Linked DNA regions of Cricetulus griseus. The protein of the gene in region 2 purifies or fractionates together with the protein of the main gene of each other region. This does not show direct contact. Links are inferred from orthologs where the notes say so. Each region holds a gene or a part of one and is shown on either strand. Other genes may lie near its edges.

Region 1 (7,174 bases), on a different chromosome or scaffold from region 2:
GGTATCTCAGTTATGATCCTGAATGTCTCCTAGCCGTTGGACAAGCAAATGGTCGAGTTGTACTTACAAGTCTTGGTCAAGATCATAACTCTAAGTTTAAAGATTTGATAGGAAAAGAATTTGTCCCAAAACACGCTCGACAATGCAATACCCTTGCATGGAATCCTCTGGACAGTAACTGGCTTGCTGCTGGTCTAGACAAGCACAGAGCTGACTTTTCAGTTCTAATATGGGATATCTGCAGCAAATATACTCCTGATATTGTTCCCATGGAAAAAGTGAGACTTTCAGCAGGTGAAGCTGAAACAACATTATTAGTAACAAAACCACTGTATGAGTTGGGGCAAAATGATGCTTGTCTATCTCTTTGTTGGCTTCCAAGAGACCAGAAACTACTTCTTGCTGGCATGCATCGTAACCTAGCCATATTTGATCTTCGGAACACAAGCCAGAAGATGTTTGTAAATACAAAAGCTGTTCAAGGAGTGACAGTAGACCCATACTTCCATGATCGTGTTGCTTCCTTCTATGAAGGTCAGGTTGCAATATGGGATCTGAGAAAATTTGAGAAGCCAGTTTTGACTTTGACTGAGCAACCAAAGCCCTTGACAAAAGTAGCATGGTGCCCAACGAGGACAGGTCTGCTTGCTACTTTAACAAGGGACAGTAATATTATTAGACTGTATGACATGCAGCATACACCCACCCCTATTGGGGATGAAACTGAACCCACAATAATTGAAAGAAGTGTGCAACCTTGTGACAATTACATTGCTTCCTTTGCATGGCATCCAACGAGTCAAAATCGAATGATAGTCATGACTCCCAACCGAACAATGTCTGACTTTACTGTGTTTGAAAGGATATCTCTTGCCTGGAGCCCGATTACGTCTTTAATGTGGGCCTGTGGTCGTCATTTGTATGAATGTGCAGAAGAAGAAAGTGATAATTCCTTAGAAAAAGATATAGCAACAAAAATGCGCCTCCGGGCTTTATCAAGGTATGGGCTTGATACAGAACAGGTATGGAGGAACCACATTCTAGCTGGAAATGAAGACCCACAGCTCAAGTCCCTCTGGTATACTCTGCACTATATCCTTTGTCTTGTTAACATTTTGAGGCAAATTAGGTAAACACAGGAAATGTTTTATGTGCAAACACAAATCATATAATCTAAAATTCTGATGTAAAATTGTTTAAAACTATTGAAAGTTTTAGTTTGTAGACTGGGGGCAGAAAAGGTGGTCAGTAAAGTCAAACTGTGTTACCTGTATAGTCTTAGGAATTTGCTCCTCATTAAAATAATTTTAACTTTGAAATATTTTATTATGCATAATGACCAGTATTTCCTATGCATTTAAATACTTATGAAGCAGTATACAGAAGATATGGATCAAAAATCTCCAGGCAACAAAGGATCATTGGTTTATGCAGGAATTAAATCAATAGTAAAATCATCTTTGGGTAAGAAAATTCCATTTTATATTTTTAAATACATTTTACTTGATCCCTAGTTGGTTAAAACTAAGATTATTTCAGTTCTGTGTATATAAATACCTTTAACCCTCTTGGCTTTCTGATTAGATGTTTTAGTGAGTTGTTAAGTATATTGATTGTATTTATATCCAGATGCTTTACGGAAGCAACTTTGATTCTTTGATGTGACATAGATGTTTCTTTTTTTTTTTTTCTTTTTCTTTTTTTTACATAGATGTTTCTTAAATCTATTCATTTATTATTCTGTGCTATTTATTTGAAGACCCACTTTAAGAGAGGTAGTATACAAGTTCTTTTATAAGATGCTCATTGTTAGTTTGGATTTTATCACAGCATCGTGTGTTTTAAAGACTAAATTAAAAGATCTCTATCTGAAGAAGATCCCTTTGATTTTGCTTCCCAAATACTTTCATAAGGCTATATGACATGAAATATGGCCTAACTTGAAGAAAATACCTGGAAGTCCTTGGTGAGTAAGTGAAGGAGTCAATTAATGGGTTAATAATGTAAGGTTTAAGTTAATAAACTATTTGTAAATAAAAGGCCCCACTCCAAAAAGCACTTTCAACCTAGTTCTTTAAGCAGTTGTTTTTATTCTTTTTATTGAAATTGTGATAATGTTATATTTTCTTTTAACTTAGAATTCAACCTCCACATTTTATAAATCTATTTATACTCCATTGAGTTAAGATGCTAGAAAAATAATTCACACTATTTAGTCAAAACCATAGTGGAAATAATAAATCCATAGGACTTGCTTCACTATGCTACAAGTAACACAGAATGTACAATAACATGGCGTTTTTTTATTTTTTATTTTTTTAGAATAGTTTAACATTTCAGTTAAGCTGCTGCATTTGTTATAGTGGATTTTCTTTTTGAGGACTTTGAAAATACTTTGATGCACAGTGCTGAAAGGTGAATGGACAGCTTCAGATTTGTTTCACTTTGGTGTTTTCCCATTAGAATCACACCAAAAAGAGTAACCTTTATCATTAGAACTAAAATGAGTAAGTCTAATGAGAAACTGCCTTACTTATTAACAGAAGTAAAAAGGCAGCATAATGTGTGATCACCATTTATGAATCTGAATATACCATGACTTGTGAGTTTAAAAACTACTGCCACACAAAGAATTAAGTACTATGTCAATAAAATTTATAGAATTGGGCAATGGACTAAGAGTTCAGAATATAGGAGGAATATAACCATAGAGCAAGCAGTATGTTAGAAATACCTGATATTTTATGGGATAGATGAAATTGTTCAGATTAAGAACCAAAAGCAATGTGTTAACTAGAGAGTGGTGGTGGGATAGGAAAAGCATGGGAGCTATGTATTCATGTAGACAAGGGGACGAAGTCACTTCATGCTTTAGATCCAGTTGGCTGAAACAACTGAACACTGAAGAGAAATCAGCAACTATAAATAATTAAAAACATAGGCTGTATCAGGGAGGATAAAATGGTAACCAGTGCTAGGAGCTAACCTAGAATGGAGGGAGGGCTGTTGTTGCTTTGTTACTGGTTTCAGCATAAGATTAAGCATGTTTAAATGCTGATTGGAAAAAGCCGTGGGTGTGTGTGTGTGGGGGGGGTGTGGGTGGGTGGGTGGGTGGGTGAGCGTGGGCATGCACATGTTGCTGCACACATGGAGAGGACCGGAGACAACTTTTGGCAGTCAGTTGTAGCCATGTGCCTTGCTGAGGGAGGGACCTTCTTACTGTAGATGAACTTCATACTGCGGTCTACCAGCCCACCATGAACTTTCTCCCGTAAGAGTGCTAGGGTTCAGATGCATTCCATCCGGCCTTCTGTGTGAATTCTAGGGGATGGAACTCAGTCATCATGCTTGTAGCTAGGCCTTTACTGCTTAAGCCATGTCTCGCACCCCACTTCCTGTCTTTAATATAGCAGAGGTTGTATAATAAAAGCCTGGCCAGCTTTCCACCCAGCACAATGAAATTTTGTTTATACTTGACAAGTTTAACTTTGATCCAGAGAATTTATGTGTTCAAATTGATTTAAAGGAGCAAAATAGCTAAGATTTTATGGTTGTTTTCTTTTTCTTTTCTTTCTTTCTTTTTTTTAATATTTATTTATTTATTATGTGTGCAGTGTTCTGTCTGCATGTTGCCTGCAGGCCAGAGGAGGGCACCAGATCTCATTACAGATGGTTGTGAGCCACCATGTGGTTGCTGGGAATTGAACTCAGGACTTTTGGAAGAACAAGCAGTGCTCTTAACCACTGAGCCATCTCTCCAGTTTTCTTATAGTGTATTATCAAGTACATATATTTTATACACTATATGTATGTGTGTGACATATACAAATGCATATTATCTGATTGGTGATTTGAGACTTTTTTAAGCTGGCATTTTAATGTTTGAGTATACTTGTTTCCTTTGCAAACATTAATAAAATACTGATTCTATTAATATGGGCAATATCAGATTCAGTGATGAAAAGTTTTTCATTTTTGTATTGCATATAATATGTAGATTTTATTTCTTTCATAGATAAGTTAAAATTTTATAGATATTAAAATTGTAGTGTAATGATCCATTTGAAATTAATGGTGTCACATTTCTTTTTTGATAACCCTAATTACCCACAGCATAGTTGTCAAACTAAGAGAGAATCTCTGAGCAGCCAGAGTTCAATTCATTAAATTAAAAATGTTCTATTTAAAAATAAGTAATGTGGGCATGGAGTTGGGAGAATACTTGCCTAGCTTGCAGGAAGCCACAGGTTTCATCCCCAGCATTGCATAAAACTGAGTGTCAGTGAACTTTAGTTCCAGCTCTTCATTGGAGCTTTTGTTCCAGTGAGAGAACAGACATGAGAATTTATGTTAAATGCTGCCCTGTAGTACATATAGGAAACAAGTGCTGAGTTAGATAACAGCTGTCTATTTTAGATTAGAGGGTTGAAGCAGTGACTCAGCTTAGCGGGCTGAACTGTCATTCTTATAGCAATAGCTTCTTAGTAATTCAACTGTGGTATAAAATGTTTGATTTAAAATTTCAGTATACCGCTTATTTATGCTATTGTAAGGTTATGACTGAGAAGTTGAATATTCTAAATGTTGAATTTTTTTTTTTTGTAAAGCTGGTGTTGCCTAATATATTTTAAAGTATCAATGAACAGCACTCTAAAAACGTTTTCTGTTTTTAGGGATGGTGGAAAGCAGCAGACATAACTGGAGTGGCTTGGACAAACAAACTGACATTCAGAACTTGAATGAAGAGAGGATTTTAGCATTACAGCTCTGTGGGTGGATAAAGAAAGGAACAGATGTAGACGTGGGGCCGTTTTTGAACTCTCTTGTGCAAGAAGGAGAATGGGAAAGAGCTGCTGCTGTGGCTTTGTTCAACTTGGATATTCGGCGAGCGATCCAAATCCTGAATGAAGGGGCATCTTCAGAAAAAGGTAGTAGGTTATGTTGTGAGAATTAGCGGCTCACAGAATCCGCCAACATCTTATACACATTTTTATTGAAAGGGAAAGTATGTCATGCTAAGTGGTGAATATTAGCTAGTCCCATTTATATATGCCTCCAGATAGGACAATAAAAACAAAATGTTCTTTTGGGCGGTTTCAAGACAGGGTTTCTCTGGCTTTGGAACCTATCCTGGAACTAACTCTAGCAGACCAGGCTGCCTCTGCCTCCGAGTGCTGGAATTAAAGGTGTGTGCCATCACTGCCCAGCCATATGCTTTTATTTTAAAAGACTTAAAACTTAATGGAGTAAGCAGAGGAATGAAGCATCAAATATCTTGGAAAACATTTTTGTAAAAGTGAGTAATGAAGCTGATAAGAACAGAAAGTAGGCATGGGTACTGTTTTAATTGGAAAAGCAAGAATGGTTAGAATCAAGAAAGGTAGAAAATTCTTAAGAGAAAAGGAAAAGGGAGACATAGCTTGGACATTTGAAATGAAACTTAGGAAGGCTGTGCAGAACTGAAGAGCAGGTTGGCAGCTTCCTAGCAGCCCTGTGCATCACAGAGCAACTGTTTATACAACTCATTGGTAAAGAATGCTTTGTTGCAAAGACCCCTGAGTGCAGTTTTGTAATAATTCTGATAGCTCATTTTGGCCTAGCAGTTTTTCTAAATGTATTATAATAAAAATACTGAAACGCTTTTTCTCCATTTGACACTTTGTACATAAGTATATATATTATATATTAGAAATAGGAAAATAAGAAAACTTTGAAAATTACAATGGTGGGGTATATTAGTATTTACTGTTAATACTCTGAGATAGCATAGATGGCTTTACTGATAACAGCGGCAGTGATTTTGGTAAGATGGTCTGACTTGTCTCCATTTAGATACCAAGTAGTAATATGCCATATAGGAAATTGCTGGATGAAGAACTAGAAAGGTAATTGTTGTACTGCTGCTGTGGGAGCAGCTCAGTGGTGGAGCAGCCACTGGGATTCTGGCTCATGTCCAGTACTGCACAAGAGAGGCGTTCATTGGGCACGGGATTGCAAGTGTGCATATGCACTGGTTTTAGGAGTGGAGTTTTTCCAATGTACTCTACCAAATTAACAGTCTTAGTTTTTTCTTATTCGGGTGGGCTTCTTTTCTTGGGATAAAAATTCACCCTCTGATCACTGTGTTGAGGATTTCAGAACTGTGGGAAAAGGTTATTAAGTTTCTGATGGCTTGATTACTGTATGTTTTTAACCTCCAGGAGACCTGAATCTCAATGTGGTGGCAATGGCTTTATCCGGCTATACGGATGAGAAGAACTCCCTGTGGAGAGAGATGTGCAGCACACTGCGATTGCAACTCCACAACCCCTATCTGTGTGTCATGTTTGCATTCCTGACGAGTGAAGCAGGAGCTTATGACGGAGTTTTGGTAAGTTGTTTTGTTTCCCAAGATCCTCCTTTGAGTTAGAACAGGTTTGCTTTTGGTAGTTTTCTTCTTTTTAAGATTTGTTTATTTATTACGTATGCAGTATTCTGCCTGCACGTCTCCCAGCAGGCCTTGTAGTTTTCTTAATATGGTTTTTAGCTACAGAGCCAAAACTATTTCATCCTTTACTGAAGGACTGCAGAAATGTACAACTATAAACACATACATGAATTTGCTGTTGAAATTGTGCGTGTGTGTGTGTGTGTGTGTGTGTGTGTGTGTGTGTGTGTGTGTGTGTGTGTGTATGTGTATGTGTGTAGACAACTGATGACCAGTTGTTTTGGTTAAAGTGTCCATATATCTCAAGTTAATGTTTGTCATTTTCAGACAAGTTTTGTTTGGAAAACAAATTATATAGTCATACTACTTATAATAAACTACATTTTATTTAGTCTTCAGTTATTTTAGTCACTTGTGTAACCACATCATTTCTTCCTTGTCATGAAGTGAGGTTTCTTTACCCATTTTAGCTGTTAGTCACAAGCTTTACATAAAACTTCTTTGCTTTGTACTGTTTTCTTTCCAGCAATGAAAAGAACTTTCTATATTAAGATTTATTCCTCTGTTTGATGTTAGAGCATTTCTTACAAAATATGCATTGCTTCAGTAATTGTCAATTTATAAGATTTGTAAAAATGTGTATTTTATTGATCTATCATACTGAAGATTTAAATAAATGTTAGTGTCCATTTTGACAGTTTATTTTGTCCATTTCTTTTAATAAGTTTCTCATGAACCTTTCTGAGC
Region 2 (7,174 bases):
ATCTGAGCTCAACCCTTTCGCCTTCATCTGTTTTTAGGAGCCAGAAAGACAAGGGGGTATGGCCTCTTGGGCTTTCCTAGTCTTCCAGCTCCAGGGGCAGAGCTGAGACCCCAAAGTCAGTGCAACAATCCTGTGCAGTCCAGCAAGAGAAAGGAAGGTGTGGCTTGCCCAGGGAGCTGCACACCGCACACATGCCCATCCTTAGCATCTGGTGGATGGACATGAGACAGAGATCGTCCTGGATCTGTCTCCAGACACAGAAATCCTGTACAGAGGACACTGCCCCAGGGTTGGCTGCTCCGGGTGCTGGTCCTGCGTGGGAGGGAGTCAGGTCATGTAGCGGGTGATGGCACGGAGGGCATAGAGCAGGGCTGCTTGCATCCGGGCCTCCAGGAGCAACAAGTTCACGTGAACCTGGGGCACAGAAAGAGGCTTGCTCACAACTGCTCTGCAGCCCTCCCTCCCAGTCTACCAGTTCCCTGGGCACTCACCTCACCCACGCCTCCCACCGAGATGCCCCGACCTGTGCTAAGAAGGCTCTGTGCAATCTGGTGCAGTGACTGCTGAGGAAGCCCCCTGTCGTGACTAAGTACCTTATCTCCCAAGTCTGAAAGAGCTACCATTAGCTGGCTGCAGTGAAGGATCAAATGCTTCCATATATAGTCTCATTGTGCCTTCCCAGCTTTGAAGCCCAGGCAGTGTCTCTTCTCATTATAAAGGGGAAAAGCTCAAAGACGCAAAGTCACATGTCCAAAGGCACAGTGCTCCTATGTGAGAGAAACTGATTTGAACCTATGCCTGCCAAACTGCCACTCAAAGTCTGTGGGAACAGGCCCCCAGGTGCCTTATTTGAATGAAGTCTGAAATCACACAGTGGAATAGGATTTAACCAAGGACAACAGGCCCAGGTTCCCACTGTGATCCTCACTGGGTCCTACTCTCTAGCTCTTCTACAGGCCTGGCTTGGCTGTTTTTCACATCCACATGGCTGTTACCTTCTCTGAGTGGCGGAAGTGCCTCCAGAAGAGGTGGTACATCCTGCGGGTTGTCTTCTCTGGGTAGCAGGCCACGGTCTTGATGTAAATTTTGAGGTTCCTTTCCAGGAGTTGGTTTACCTCCCCATAGTCGTAGTCATCGTATCTGATGGAAAAGACCCGGGCAGCGTTACTCAAGCCCTGATCTCACAAGCAGAGTGGCCCACTCACCCCACCCTACAGAAGGAGGAACAGAGAGTGGCCAGAAAAGCCAGAAGGTAAGAAGCAATCAGAAGCCTGGTTCCTCTCGGAAAACAGCTGACATCATGCGTCATAGGTTACCAGGCTCACAGAGGACTACTCTAAGTAACACTAACAATGAGCACGCACTATTGAATTCTGACTGAGCCGGTGACAATCCTACAAATTACATACTCTGTCATATTCAATATACTGTGTTCATCAATTTCATTTTACTGAGATTCAAAGAAGGCATTCCCTCCACAGCAGGGAATGACTTCAAATCCAGCTCTCCTACACTCACTGTGACAGGAAGGTCAGTGGTGATCCTGGAGAACGAAGCAGTGGTGGGAAAAAGGAGACACAGCTAAAACCAGACAGGCAAGCTAAGGTCTAGCTAGAGAAGGCAATTAACTGCTTCAAAATCCAACAGCAAGTTGGCAATGAGTTTAGAAGCCGCTTGTCTCTCCTCAGTGTAGTTATGCATGTGCATAGGGAAAACCAGGAAGGAAACACCTGAATACAATAAAATAAGGTGACCTCCTGCACAATTTTGGTGGGTTTTTTGGTCTTCTTGTTTTTTTTGTTTTTGTTTTTTTTGTTGCGACAAGGTTTTGACTGTGTAGACCAGGCGGGCCTTGGAACTCCCAGAGATCTGCCTGCTTCTGCCTCCCAAGTGCTAGAATCGGGGCGTGCATCACCACTGCCCAGCAGTTTTGGTGGTTTGTTTGTTTGTTTGTTTTTTGTTTTTTTAATTTTTTAGAGTCCTGTAGTCTAGCTGGTGAACTTGTTATATAGTGAAGGATGACCTTGAACACCTAACTGATCCTCCTGTTTTTGCCTTCCCAGTACTGGAATTACAGGTATTAGTAAAAAACAAGTCAACAAAGAAAGGAAAGCCGGGGCAGGCGGTGGTGGCGCACACCTTTAGTCCCAGCACTCGGGAGGCAGAGGCAGGCGGATCTCTGTGAGTTTGAGACCAGCCTGGTCTACAAGAGCTAGTTCCAGGACAGCCTCGAAAGCCACAGAAAAACCTGGTCTCAGGAACACCCCCCCATCCCTCAAAGGCAAAAGCCTATCCCAGCACACGAAAGACTGAAATAGATAGGCTGCTGTGAGTTCATGGTCAATCTGGACTGTTGTGAAACCCTACCTTAAAAATAAATGAATAAATAGAGTTTTTTATATATCTTAGATAAACCATTTTATTTCGAGGATTCATCAATGAGAACTCGTGTATGAGACTAGTCAGTGCGAATAATGTTTATAAGAGTAAAATCTGCCATCGGGGGTGGTAAGCACATGGCTGTAATCTCAACACCTGGGAGGCCAAAGAAACAGGGGGTCCCAAATTTGAGCCAACAGAGACTCCTTCTTGGGGGTGGGGAGAGGAGGAACTTAGGAAAAAAAAACCCTAACAATAGAAAAGAAAAACAAGAAACAACCCTGCAAACAACCTAAATACTCATATAACATCACTTAATAAAAAATTTTCCTAAACAAACAAACAAACAAACAAATAACAAATAGACAACAACAACAACAAAACCACCAGTCAGTGGACAGACAATATGGCTCAGTGAGTAAAGGAGCTTGCCATCTAGAGTAGTGATCCCGGTTTGGTCCCTCTGCCCCATACAGTGGAAGGAGAGAAACGACTCCAGCAAGTTGTGTCCCACATGAGAATGTATACACATACATAAAAATAAATAAAACTTTTTTAACTAGAAAAGATTTAACAAGATAAAACTATATAAATCACTGTACTATATTGTACAGAGATGACCAGACTTAATATTTTGGTGGGTAACCTCCCACATGCCTGACTCCTGGTCATAATTTTCATGAGCTGCATAACAGGTTACAATGGAAACATCATTATTTCAAGTCTGTTGCTGATGGGTATCTGTGTTGTCCTTACTGACTACAGGAAAAGATGTGCTATTTGGAAATTTAAACACGAGTCTATAGCAGGATGGTGGTGGAGCACGCCTTTAATCCCAGCACTCGGGAGGCAGAGGTAGGTGGATCTCTGTGAGTTTGAGGCCAGCCTGGTCTACAGAGTAAGTTCTAGGACAGCTAGGACTGTTACACAGAGAAGCCCTGTCTTGAAAAACCAAAAAAATATGTGTCTATGTAGTGTGTACATTTGATGTTTGTATTTGTGTAGAGTGCACAATACAAACACACATGAACCCATAGCTAAAGTGCTTTGGTCGAGCAGGCCTTTAAGCCCCAGCACCTAGAAGCTAAGGCAGCAGGAGTGTCAAGAGCTCAAGCCTGACCTGAAGCATACAAGTTCTAGGCTAGTCTGTGTTATACCCTGCTTCCAAACATCAAAAATAAATAAGTAAAATGACATAAAACAACATAAAGTGCCTAGCATGCACAAGGTCTTAGGTTCAATTCTTTGTATTACAAGCCAAACAAAGCAAAGCCCAGTTATCTCTGGGAGAGTGCTTAAAGAGGCTTATTAGCTTTAAACCTGCAAAGACATAAATTGCCTTGAAAGATTACTATAGGCAAGAAGAAAAGAAAAACTAAAAGTGACAGTATGCTCAAGAAAGATTGATGGCATACACATGACCTGAACCTGGAGAGCACTTGCTCACCTGATGCCAAAGACACAGTGGATGTAGTTCCAGATGGCCCTTCGGAGCATGGAGGTGTCCACACCACTGTGCATGGCGATGGTGTTATAGGTGAGGCTGTAGGCTACCTGAAACTTCTCATCCAGCAGCTGTCCTCCCTCAGGGTAGAGCCGCTGGATCAGTGAGTAGCCATGGTCTTCCCAGGTATAATCCTGAGGAATAAGGGAAGAGGTCAGGGAGCAAGACTTGGGAAACCCAAGGCTGACCAGAGATCTGTCCTCTGGAACGCTAGAATTCACACCTTGCTTTGCATAACATACCCTCCCTACACCACAATCTGATACGCTATGGACGGACCTGAGAGACCAAGCAGGTGAACCAGGATGATGACTTTTCCCCTGGATTGGGATCTCTTAGGTCTTCACTGCCCTTATGGGTTTTTGTTTTGTTTTGTTTTGTTTTTGAGACAGGGTTTCTCTGTATAGCCCTGGCTGTCCTGAAACTAGCTCGTAGACCAGGGTGGTCTCGAACTCACAGAGATCCACCTGCGTCTGCCTCCCAGTCCTGCGATTAGAGGAGTGCGCCATCACTGCCTGGCACACTCATGGGTTTTTGTGGGGAGAAGGTATCCAACTTTAGAACCATTGCAAGCACTTGCCTCTGCTTATATGCAAATCTAAGGAAATGAACACCACTAGTGCAGGGAGCCTCACCTGGGCTCGGAAGGTAGGCGGGGCCTGAGTCCCTCGACGAGTGAAGTCTTCATACCCAAATGTGGGGTCTTCCACAAAGCATAGAATGTCTGGGTGTGGAGAGGTCTCCAGGATATCCGCTGAGGGCCATAGCAGAAAGAGGAGTCAGAGAAGCTGAGCCTAGAGCTCCACGTCATCAGAGAGGTAAGGGGAGCAACAGTAGGGGACCACAGAGAGCCTCTCCCCACACCAAGTGGGGAAGACTTTAGTTAGAGCCACTCCTGGGGAGGAGGAGACTCCTGCCCAAGAACCAGGAAGGCAAGGCGCCCTGTAACAGTAATAGTGGTAGTTCTATAGCATGGCTCAACCTGGGAAAGGCTCTAAGCTTGGCTCCATCTACCCAACACTAACCCTGAAGGGCTAACAGACCAGGACTCAAAGGCAGATCTGAACACAAGGCCATGCAGAGCCTCTTGGAAGGAAGGCATGGTGCATGGAGGTGTCTGCTCCCATCAGAAGGGTAGGGAGAGAGGCAGTCCCTAGCACAGACATCTGTGATCCTGTACCTGAGGGGGTTACCAGCAGACTTTCTGATTTCTCCAGCTCAAAACGGTTCTCCATTTCCTCCTGGGAAGCTCCCTCATCTCGCAGCAGGCTCTCCTGCAGCTGCCTCATGCGTTCCATCAAGGCTTCTACATCACGGGCGGCTTCGAAGCCCTGTAGGAAGAACCCAGGAATTACCATCTTGTCCTCCTCCCTTCACGGTCCTCTGGAAAGCTCCACTCAGATTTGATACATTCTAGGCCTTCCTGAGTGATCAGAAAGAACTAGGGTGTTTCTGAGCCAGCTACCACACACAGGGCAGCACATACTCTGTGAGTCTTCCACAGGGGTTGGTTTTGTTTGTTTTTTGAGACAGGGTGTTATTCACTGTGTAGCCCTACCTGTGCTGGAACTGAGGATGTAGATCAGGCTGGCCTTCAACTCAGAGATCGTCTGCCTCTGCCTCCTCAGTTCTGGGATTATGGGAGTTTCTGTTGATTGGTGGTTTTTGTTTTTTGAGACAGGGTTTCTCTGTGAAACAGCCCTGACTGTCTTGGACCTCACTCTGTAGACCAGGCTGGCCTGGAACTCACAGAGATCCACCTGCCTCTGCCTCTCGAGTGCTGGGATTAAAGGCGTGCAACACCACAGCCCAGCAGCCAGTGCTGTTAACCACTGAGCCATCTCTCCACCCCCTGTTGTTTGGTTTTTGGTCCTGTTGCTGATTGAACTCACACAGACTAGGCAGTCACCACTGAGCTATACCAACGCCTACATTTTGTATAGTCAACGGGACAAAAAATGTCAGACATGGTGGCTCACTTCTCTAATCCTAGCACATTGAGAAGATGGGGATATAGGAGATCACGATGAGTTTGAGGCTAGCCTGGGCTACAGAGTAAGACCCTGCCTCAAAAATAACAATAAAACCAAAAACATCCACAAACAACAACAAAAATCAGCTGGTGCCAAGAGGTGGTGTCCTACACCTTCAATCCCAGCACTCAGGAGGCAGAGGCAGGTGGATCTCTGTGAGTTCAAGACCAGCCTGGTCTACAAGAGCTAGTTCCAGGACAGCCTCCAAAGCCATAGAGAAACCCTGTCTCGAAAAACAAAACAAAAAACCCAACAACAAAACAAACAAACCAGAGTTTAAAGCCAAGCAATTTTGCTGTAGCCTCTCACTGTGAAGAGACTGGAAAGCCATGGTTTCTATTCCCAGGGCAGAGGCCGCACCAGCTTTCTCCCACACGAAAGCAAGATCCAGGATCACGACTTACCCCAGAGTTGTTCAATGGGTCTCCACTTGGGGGACTTCCGTGCTCACTGGGGGGCGAGGGTGCCTGTGAGGCAGGACTTCCCTCTGCGTCTCCTTCAGGAAGTATTCCACAGCCAAACACGAAGGAGGCCAGGGAGTGGCAGTGTGTGAGCAGGACCAGAGCTTGGATGAGTTCAGCCAGGGACCAGCTGTGCTCTCCAGTCTTCAGTAAGGCCTGGAAGGGAGAGAGCGCTAACCCACTTAGTGGCTGCCCCTGAGCGACTCCAGCCCAGCCCCCAGGCTTCCTCAAGGAGCCAACCTTCCGCCTATCATACCTGGATATGCTCCTTGGTGATGAGCCACGGCCGATGTGCCAGCAACTTGTTGATCTCACTGAGTTTGCGAAGCTTTTCAGGTGCCCGGTGGAGGCCCAGCAGCCACTCCGGGTCACCACCAGTCTGCAGGAACTCGGTCATGTGGGAGCCCACCAGGTAAGAACACTGGTGGCGGGCAGCTGCCTATGGAGGGAGGTGATAAGCCTGAGTTACCCGCCTTCCGTGCCCCATTCTGGAAAGATCCCCCTGAGATCTAAGAGGGAGAAAAAAAAAAATCTATATTCTAACTTCAGCTCTGCCACCAGCTTGCTGGTCATCTGACCCCTTTGCACCTCAGTTGTCCCATCTGTAAAGAACACTTAAAGAGCCGCTCTTTAAAACCTAAAATCCCGTGGACATTATCGGGTAAAACTGAACACTTCCTCTTCACCTAAAAAAAAAAAAAATCAACTCAGGAGAGTCCCAGCAAATGAATCTGAAGCTAGAACTACCATTTGGCCACCCCTGCGAGGCCCAGGCCTGGATAAACTTACCATGATGG

What was found. Proteins that work in one complex are often made in the same cells at the same time.
Region 1: the proteins of Sesn2 (region 2) and Mios purify together in Homo sapiens (affinity purification with western blotting; 5 studies listed by BioGRID and IntAct, with this or other methods). This does not show direct contact. The link is inferred for Cricetulus griseus from reciprocal best matches to the Homo sapiens genes SESN2 and MIOS.

The regions. Positions count from the first base shown.
Region 1 is NW_023276806.1:216,968,077-216,975,250, reverse strand, and holds part of Mios (GATOR complex protein MIOS), read left to right. Parts: coding exon 1-1,092; intron 1,093-1,365; coding exon 1,366-1,464; intron 1,465-4,673; coding exon 4,674-4,928; intron 4,929-6,200; coding exon 6,201-6,370; intron 6,371-7,174. UniProt on the Homo sapiens protein: As a component of the GATOR2 complex, functions as an activator of the amino acid-sensing branch of the mTORC1 signaling pathway. The GATOR2 complex indirectly activates mTORC1 through the inhibition of the GATOR1 subcomplex.
Region 2 is NC_048595.1:20,765,079-20,772,252, reverse strand, and holds part of Sesn2 (sestrin-2), read right to left. Parts: coding exon 7,167-7,174; intron 6,817-7,166; coding exon 6,634-6,816; intron 6,534-6,633; coding exon 6,321-6,533; intron 5,215-6,320; coding exon 5,064-5,214; intron 4,638-5,063; coding exon 4,519-4,637; intron 4,018-4,518; coding exon 3,827-4,017; intron 1,141-3,826; coding exon 996-1,140; intron 415-995; coding exon 328-414; 3' UTR 1-327. UniProt on the Homo sapiens protein: Functions as an intracellular leucine sensor that negatively regulates the mTORC1 signaling pathway through the GATOR complex. In absence of leucine, binds the GATOR subcomplex GATOR2 and prevents mTORC1 signaling.